Arabidopsis thaliana: one gene and its partner. The protein of the gene in region 2 interacts with the protein of the main gene of each other region in a pairwise test. Each region holds a gene or a part of one and is shown on either strand. Other genes may lie near its edges.

Region 1 (4,991 bases), on a different chromosome or scaffold from region 2:
TTGAGTAGGAAAATATACTCTTAATTCTGACTAGCTCGTAGCTGAGACAAAGAGTCTAGAATAGTGACTCAGTTCCATCAGCACATGTGGTGTTCCCAACGAATTCCGTATTCACGAATTTAGACTTTCTATTATGGAGAGTTCGAAATCAAGATGGAACAAGGGAACATAGTGGTTTCTACCCTTGGTTAGCTTGGTATAACTCGAAAGCGAGGAACGATAACAATACTAAATATGTAGAAACCAGATCCTTGACAAAATATTTTGTGATTGCGAGATGAACTCAAAGCGTGGATGCGAGTCCAAGATTAGGTGTAGCAGAGTACATTGGTGAAGGCATGGGAGTCGTTCCAGAGCTTATCATCCCTTCTATGTTTTGAACTCCCTTGTTCTTTGTTTTCAAGTTGATGGTTCATGGAAAACCAAAACAAAAATGTGCAGCCAGTTTGGTTTTAATTTGATGGCTTCAACCAGATTCATCTAATTGGTTTGAAAGGATTTCAAATATATTTCATGTCTTTACACTAAGAACTCCTGACACTACACTACTTTTGGTAGCGCGGTATGCGGAATGATTTATTTCGAAACTGATTGCAGCGGATTTAGTAAGATGATTAACCCTTTTTCGCTATAAGATTTAATCTACACTGCAATAAACAAAGACCCGATTATCTTGCCGGTTCGACAAAACATCGAGCAATTCTGTCCTCGTTTGCAAACTCGTTGCGGATTGGTTGCACCACTAAGCAATCTTATTCCATGATGGTTAGTAATCTAGTATGTTAGCTGTAACTGTATGAATGAGTTTTAAAAACACTGTAATACACATCTTGAAAATACTTTACTATAATCAAACAACATGAAATCAAAGTCATTTCACTAATATCATAAAGAATATATGTTTTCATTAATTCTTTTTAACTTTCTTCATTATTGTACAAAAATTTTATATTACACCTACATCCATTTATCAAATAATATACTTTTCAACATGACATCCATCTAAATTCAAGCTAAGATCATCTTTCGAATTTTTCGATCAGATCATTGCCGTTAAGCAAATATAAAACAAATCAGGAGCAAACCTTATTGTTCTTCCTTAGGTATGCATGTGCACCTCTTCTGTTCTTCTGTTAACTCCTATATTATCCACACCAAAATAAACCAACTCATAACTCTTTTTACTATATACTGTTGACTAATCATTTTTAATTCATCTATTGGGTTCCTCTAAAAGGTTTTGTGTGTATATATATTAACTTAGATAATTTACCTGGATCTGCCTTTGAAGAACTTTCACGTATTCTACTGCTTCTTCTAACATGTCTGCAGTGTTGGTTTGCTGCAACAAAGACAAAAAAGTTAACCGATATACTCAAAGCCTAGATTCCAAATCTCCATATATACCAAAACCAAAAGTTTTCCTCAGTTTGTTCATAATCTATAGAGAGGAAACCAAGTTCATACTTATTTGATCGAGGTGACAACAATTCAAGTCCATATCAAGATCCATTCCACAGTTTGTGAATTACTTAGTTACAGAGCTGAGAACCGTGTCTCTGAAGTTGCATCACAACCATTAACAGTCATATTTAATTTGACCTCTAACTTCTACACTTGATTTAAGCATAGATAATCTTTGACCTATTTCTAGTCAATATAATTGTGTAACCGAGGTCATCAGATTATACCTAAGCTGAAAATTATATTACCTTGTCCATGTTAGGTACAAGCTCTTGTAGCTTCCTTATCCGATCACTAATCCGCGTCCTTCGTACCTACACAATGAAAGGTAAAGATAAATATACACTGACCAGAACAGAACAATCCTCTGTTCAATGAAGCATACAGTGCATCATTAAACATCCGTAAATTGAAAGTAAAGATATAAGTTGTATCACTAAACTTCAATGTATAAAGTTAAGAGAACCTTGATCACTACACTTCCAAAACATTGAAAATAAAGATTGAATGTTGTTTACCCTCTCGGCAATGCTGCGGGGATGAGTTGCGCAACCACGTTTAGCCCGAACCCTAAAAGCAACAGAGTCCTCCATAAGGTTCTCCATGTTCATATCCGACATGCTTGATACTCCGGTAGGAACTTGACCGCTGCTTTGCTCTCCTTTCTACTTACAGAAAAAAATTCCAAAAAGCGCAAATCAGCACTAATACCTTAATCAACACATAGGTAACACATATGTTCCCAAAATTTTGATCAAGTGTAGTTACTTAATACTAAGTAGACCAATGTACCAAAAGGTGTGGAGAATCAATACATTTGTACACATTAACCACCGAAGTATGTATCATCATGTGGACTTATGGTCTTCTAAACACTTTACCCATAGGAGCATTCTTTAATGTTCACATTGACACATTAAAGCCACAGAGCCAACAACAAAAACTGCCATTTTTTTTTTTTTGAGTTAAAATAGAAACTGCAACTTGCTTAGTTTGGTTCAGAAAAACACAAGTTGTCAATTTTAAGACAAGACTGGTCTTTTCAATCTCGAGAACTTGGTCAGCAAATTAACTAAAACAAGTAATAAGTCAGTTAAGTTCATCCTATTTTTGGCAAGTATAAGAAAACCCTAATTTAAGAACTAATTTTGGTTTACCATTTGAGAAGTAAACTCAGGAGAAGAGAAGAGTGCTTCCATTTCTCTAGACCGCTTACTTCCCGGAGAAACATCGATATTCCCCGATAAGTAATCGTAATTCGCCTGAATCCCAAAGCTTTGGATAAATCCATCAGAACCACTAAGAAAATCCGCCGGAGTACTATTCTGTCGGTGAAACCCACCTTGTTGATACAACCCTTGCTCAACAGGAATCGGGAACTCGAACGAGCCGCGACTTGTCGGTAAATCGTTCGAGTTCCCGGTAAGCAAATCGGTGAGACCAAGATTAGGTTTCAAAGACTCTTCTTCATCTTCCTCAAGTAAAGCTTCAAGCCAAGTCGCTGGAGCTGAACGGATCCGAGATAGTCCACTTCTACTTAGCCCTCCTCCTCCTCCTCTGCCTCCTCCGTCGTCACCACCGCCGCTACTACCGACGGATGTTGGTTGCATCCCCTTTGGCTTTTCTCTGGTTTCAATAGACACTACGAAAGCTTTTTTTCTCTTTCTTTACATTTTTTTTTTTGTTTCTTGCTCTGTTTTATTTTTTTCTTTAATTAATACATCAGCAGACCAGATTGTTGTTGTTCTTGGGTTATTTTTTTATTTATTTGTTTCAATAAAAAAATTGCGGCTAGTAATAATAAAGAACCCTAACCGTCTGATTAAGATACTTTTCTAACACTTGACTAAAAGATAAAGATAGTACAGAACCTAAAAAGGTTAGAGATGCGTCAGCGCGTAACAGAGAAACATTGCTTTAACGTCTCTTTTGTTATCTTTTTTTTTATGTAATAGATTATGGTTTACACCACTCTCGATGGAGGCGCGTAGTTTCCACCTTCTCGGTCCAATTCCGATATGTGAAAAATTAGCGACTTCGTATGTCTGCAAAATGCAACTTTTATTTAGTTGAGCTGCTTTGTAGAATTACAACATTTTAAAAGCTTTTGAAGAATTACAATATTTTAAAAAAGCTTTTGAAATTTTTTGTCTTTATTTTATATTAGAGTTATTCTCTGTTGTAACAATGTCTGTGTTGATTGCCTAACAAAAAATATAAGAACACGAAGTTTTTTTTCTTTTTCATGTAAGTACATCGACTCCGGATTAGTTCTCCTAACTTAATAAAATGGTCGCTGGTGAAAAAAAGTAAAGAATAAAAAACCATCCTATTAAAAAAAATATTACAATCTTAAAAAAAAATTACTTCATTTTTTAAATTTTTTTTGTTACTTTCGTTTTTAATTTATGGTTAAAATTTTATTTATTAATTTTAATTCTCATATATTATTTTTAAGATTTAAATGTTTATAAAATAAATAAAATAATTTGAAAGCACTTTTACAACTCGTGTGGTGTTCGGGTTGCCCGGCCATAAAAAATTCCCACAGAGTTTTTCAATCTCATCAAAACCGGTGATCGAAAAATTGAACACCAAAAACTGAAAATCTATACTATATAAAAGTTGAGGCTATTTGCTTCTAAAGCCGTCCACATAGGATTTAGAACGACCAATCGAAAGCTGCCACATCAATAATTAACATATTTAGCATTTAATTATTTAACATTTTTTAAAACAACTAATCGGAAGCTGTCACATCAATAATTAACATATTTAACATCTAATTAATTAACATTTTTAAAAATAATAATTACTTTCCATTTTAAAATTTAAAATAAAAAACGAAAATAACAAATATTAAATTTAAACTTATAAAAAAGGAAGCAATATAATTATAATTAAATAATATTAAACCTAAACCCTTACAGAATTTTGGGAGATTTGCAAAACTACTCTTTTTTTACTACCCTTTTGCAACAATATCTTTTTATGTTGTCCTTTTTTAAAAATACCATTTCCCTTGAACAGAATGACCAAATTATCCTCATCTAATAGGAACATGTAATTAGAAACTGAAATTTTCCCACCAAATTTTTGCACCAAAAATTTATTTTTCTCGCCAAAAAAATTTTCTGGCAAACTTTTTTCCCACCAAAAAGAAAAATCCCGCCAAAAAAATGATTATGCAAATCCTTGTAAAATTGTTTTGGGAAAAAATATATTTTCAAGAGATTTTAAAAGGGTTTTAAAATATTTACAAGGGATTTTAAAAGGGTTTTAAAAAATTTACAAGAGATTTTAAAAGTATTTTAAGAGATTTATAAGAGATTTTAAAAGATTTTAAAATATTTACAAGAGTTTTTAAAGGGTCTTCTTGTAAATTCTTTAAATATCTTTTAAAAACACTTGTACATCTTTAAAAATCTCTTGTAAATCTTTTGAAATCCTTTTAAAATACCTTGTAAATCTTTTAAAACACTTTTAAACCATTTAAAAATCTTTAAAAAACCTTTGTAAATCTTTTA
Region 2 (4,189 bases):
TATCTAGTTTTAGGTACGGCGATGGAAGTCTTACTAGTTATAACTCTCTACGATTGGTTGCAATTTGAAATATGAAAAACATGTGGTGCGACTTCATATTATACTCTTTTGTATCTCTATTTTTAAGAGGTCGTAATCCTAATACTGTAGTTTACAACTTTTTGCAATTTATGAATTTAACATTTTAGTAGACTCCAAATCACCGGTACACTCCAAATCACTACTGGGCTTGAAAATCATGGATTTTTACGGGGTTTAAGGGATCTTATTGGGGCACAGTTTAATGGGCATTAACTATTTCTTCTTCTTTGGGCTTTGTAAGCCGACGTTGTTTTTTTGTTTTCCCTTTTCTTTTCGTTTTTTTTAGTTAAACAAAAAAAAAACAAATTGAAAGCTCGAAGCATTTGGGACGCAACACCCGTCAGGTTCATGATAATAATTGGAGGTAAATGGAACCACGAAAATGGAATATAATTCTTCTGTTATGTTGAACGATCAGCGAAGCCATGGGAAGAATATTAAGTAAAAAAGTAGTATTTAATAGTCAGATCCTTCGTCAGTTTTACTTTTAATTTGAACAAAAAAAAACTGAATTAGATGCTGATTCGAACTAATCCTAAGTTGTCGGGAAGAAAAAGCGACTCACACCAAGCATTGACATTAAAGTCAACGGTATTTACATTATAATTATATGATTATTAAAGAATATAGTATGTAAAGTCACACATATATATATATATATATATATATCATATATATATATCATATATTGGTATTATAAAACTCGGAACACTGAAAATTACAACCAACCAGACCTAATATATGGACAGCAGAATCACACAAACCTTTTCATACAAATATTTACAACAATTCTGCAGTAATATGTACGTAGAAAATGTATGTAACAAATCTATAGGAGACCACAAACTCTAGATAATTTCTAAGTGATTTAACTCCACTGCGGAAACGCATTATAATAGCTAGACGCAGACGCAGACGCGAAACTGTAATGAGGATTTGGCTGAAGGAAAACGTCAAAAGAATTGGCTGGAGTAGGAGAGAGTGCTACGTCAGCGGTCGTGGCGGTTGCGGATGCGTCTGCGTCAGGGATGTTAACAGTGGTGATATCGTGAATACTTGATCGTCTTTTGTCTTTACCATCTGTGAGTTGTCGAAGAAAATATTTCTGAGCGTGTGAAGCGACTTGCGTCGGCGTTCGAGTCGTCACAAAGCTTTTTGCTATGTTTCTCCAATCTCCTTTTCCATATTTCTTCAAACCCATCAGAAATCGTCTGTCAAACAAAGAAAAGTAAATCAATATTATATTTAGTTAACTTCACATAAGATAAATAATTTCAAGAAAGTATTTGAAAATAGATATAAATTGTAAGAAAAGTATAAATCCTAGGCATTTTAATTATCAAAAGAAATATTCTCCTCAGTGAGTTCATATAAAAACAGAGAATTTCAAGTAAATATTAATAAAAGAGATATATTTACCTCAAAATACCACAAAACAAGATTTAGTTCCAAAATTATTTACCAAAATAAACAAATTGTTAGGCTTAGAAACTTAAATTCTATAGTATTATAACATAAAATATCGATTTTTTTAGAACAAATCTTTATAACATTAATTAGAAGTAGTGAAGAAATTTGGTAGTTACAGGTGTTCGTCCTCGGTCCACGGAACTCCTTTCTTCCTCTCCTTTTCCGGCATCGGAGACCTAAAACAATCAGTCATCGCCGGCGAACTCCTCTTTCCTCCAACGACGTAATCATAACCGTAGCTGGAGTTTTCTAGACCAAAGAAATAGTCACTGTTTGCAGCGGAGGAGGCGTCGCCGCCGTATCCCGGAATGGGGATAAGTCCGGCTTCGATGTCGCTGACATCATCCTCTAGCTCCTTGTATCGTTTAATGACGTCAGCTACTGTTTTGCCGGGAATCAAATCTGCGATCTTGGACCAGCTCTCAAGATTGTCTTTGTCGTCCAGATAAGCGAGAGCTTTCTCGAACCGTTTGTTCTCCTCCGCCGTCCACGTGGCTTCTCTGACTTCTTGAAAAATCCAGTTTGTGTTTGCCGGTGAAAACATATTAACTCCTCTGTACATCGTCGACGATGACATAGCTCCTCCTCTGTTTTTGGTGAAAACTTTCGTTTTTTTCTCTAAATTTTAGAAGAGGACAAAAAACAGAGAGTGAAGAAGAGAGTCTTGAGTGACCAAGGCAAAAAAAAAAAGAAACGACTTTATTTTCAGAAATCTCTCGAGAAAAATTATTACATGGAGAAAATGAAGAGAGCATAAAGTGGATCTCTTTGGTCGTAAACGAAAAGGAAAACACAAAAGTGGATTTTGCTTTTTTATTTTATTTTTCTATATTTCACGTGATGATCAATAGGAATAATAATACATTCAACAGGAAAAGGTGTATAAAAAAGTGTTTTTTTAAAAGAAAAAATTGAGGAAAAAGTTACAGAGATATTTGTTTTTGTTTTGCCTATGTCAAATGATTTATAAAAAATATATTTTAGTTGTTGCAATCTAAGTCGGCCAGTAGAAATATGACAACTCAGTAGTGAATGTTTCTTATAAGCTATATTTTAATATTTTTTTTAACCTAAGGTCAGATAAATACTTTTAGTATGGCTTATCTATGTGATAATTAGCATATTTGTTTTCTGCTAATATGATAAATCATATAAAATTGAAATGGGATTAAGACTAACCAAATGCACGTGTCGATACATGAAAGAAAGTATAACATAATTTCTATTTTATGACAAAGAAGGTGTAACCAATAAAATGAAAAAGACCAGAAAACGACTGTTCAATGGTTTGGCCGGTTCTTAATTTGTTGTTTAATCAAGAACATAATAATATTTAACTAAAGAGCTTATTTGTCAACACGAAATAGCCCATTCAATATATAATAACACAACCATAACTCCATAAGCTAAACAAATATACAAAAACAAGTTGGAATATTACACCTTCGAAAATTACGTATTTAATTAATTTTTGGCTGGCAAACAATTTGTTTTTTAACGTATTTGTACTTTTCATTTATTTTGTTGTAAATAAACTTCATTTTGTTAATTAATCTATTTAACTTTAAAAAAAAAGTAGAGATCATACAAATATGCGAATTAAACAATGGGATTCGATGGCAAAAACTGCAGAACCGTTGTACAAGTGGGTTAGGTGGTGATCTTAATTAACCTTTAAATAAATTCAAAAGAAAAACTTTGAACAGAAGCCAGAGCTGGATGTAACCAAAGATATTTTCTTTAGTGTATCACAGTTTCAAATTTAGTATTGGTTATTTTATGTTTATTCATATAAGGCAAGATAATACGAAGAATGTATGTGTCGGGTGCTTTCATATCGTAACAAAAGTTCATATATTAATGTCTCACCACGACACCACCTCATGTGGACGGTACCACAGCTCCACTTCTAGCCAATTGAATAATTTAAATTTGGTAAAAGTATAAAGCATTGCAACCAATTATTATAGCCAACTGTCAAACATTTTCACAAACTCATGTATTTTTGTCTTTCAGAACTATTTTTAAAAAAAACTCGAAAAAATAGTTGACTAAGATTTAACTATTTGCAATACCCGGTTCAGGAAACAAATGATAGACGGTTTAAAATTTCGTATTCAAGATCCCGAAAGCATGTGTGATTAAGAACCAAAAAAAAGTATAAAGTATAATTATAATTAAACACTAGTTAAATCAGCCATGAAGAATGAAATTTGGATATTTCGATACGATGAAATACACAGAAAAATAGTTATCAGGAGTAATTAAATAAGGTAGGGACAACAAAGGAAGCCAATACCGAATTCTCCCTATAGTGTCGCTCACATGCATGATGAAACGTAAACTGTAAGTGTCATCTGCTGATTTGTAGCAGACACAAGGTTTCTGTTCCACAGAGAGTGACTTCTTCTTGGATTCTATATTTAGCAAGATTCTCTTACTATAATTAGTAAATTACTCCTTTTTCTGTCGAATTTATTACTCTTGCTTCGTTTTATTTCATTTCTATCGTTTTATGAGGAGTATTTTGTTTTTTTCTTTCTCGTTTTCTTTTAATATTGGAAATGTGACATTGCACCTACTCATTCAAAATTCGACGACAGATGAATTCTGCTTTGATAACGACTTTTTGGAAGAA

What was found.
Region 1: the proteins of AT5G01200 (region 2) and FBH2 interact in a two-hybrid assay, tested with the Arabidopsis thaliana proteins (one large-scale study listed by BioGRID).

What each region holds. Positions count from the first base shown.
Region 1 is NC_003075.7:5,845,596-5,850,586, reverse strand, and holds FBH2 (basic helix-loop-helix (bHLH) DNA-binding superfamily protein), read right to left. Parts: upstream 3,276-4,991; 5' UTR 3,075-3,275; coding exon 2,622-3,074; intron 2,130-2,621; coding exon 1,983-2,129; intron 1,779-1,982; coding exon 1,713-1,778; intron 1,343-1,712; coding exon 1,274-1,342; intron 1,141-1,273; coding exon 1,087-1,140; 3' UTR 824-1,086; downstream 1-823.
Region 2 is NC_003076.8:75,055-79,243, reverse strand, and holds AT5G01200 (Duplicated homeodomain-like superfamily protein), read right to left. Parts: upstream 2,373-4,189; 5' UTR 2,129-2,372; coding exon 1,668-2,128; intron 1,293-1,667; coding exon 950-1,292; 3' UTR 701-949; downstream 1-700.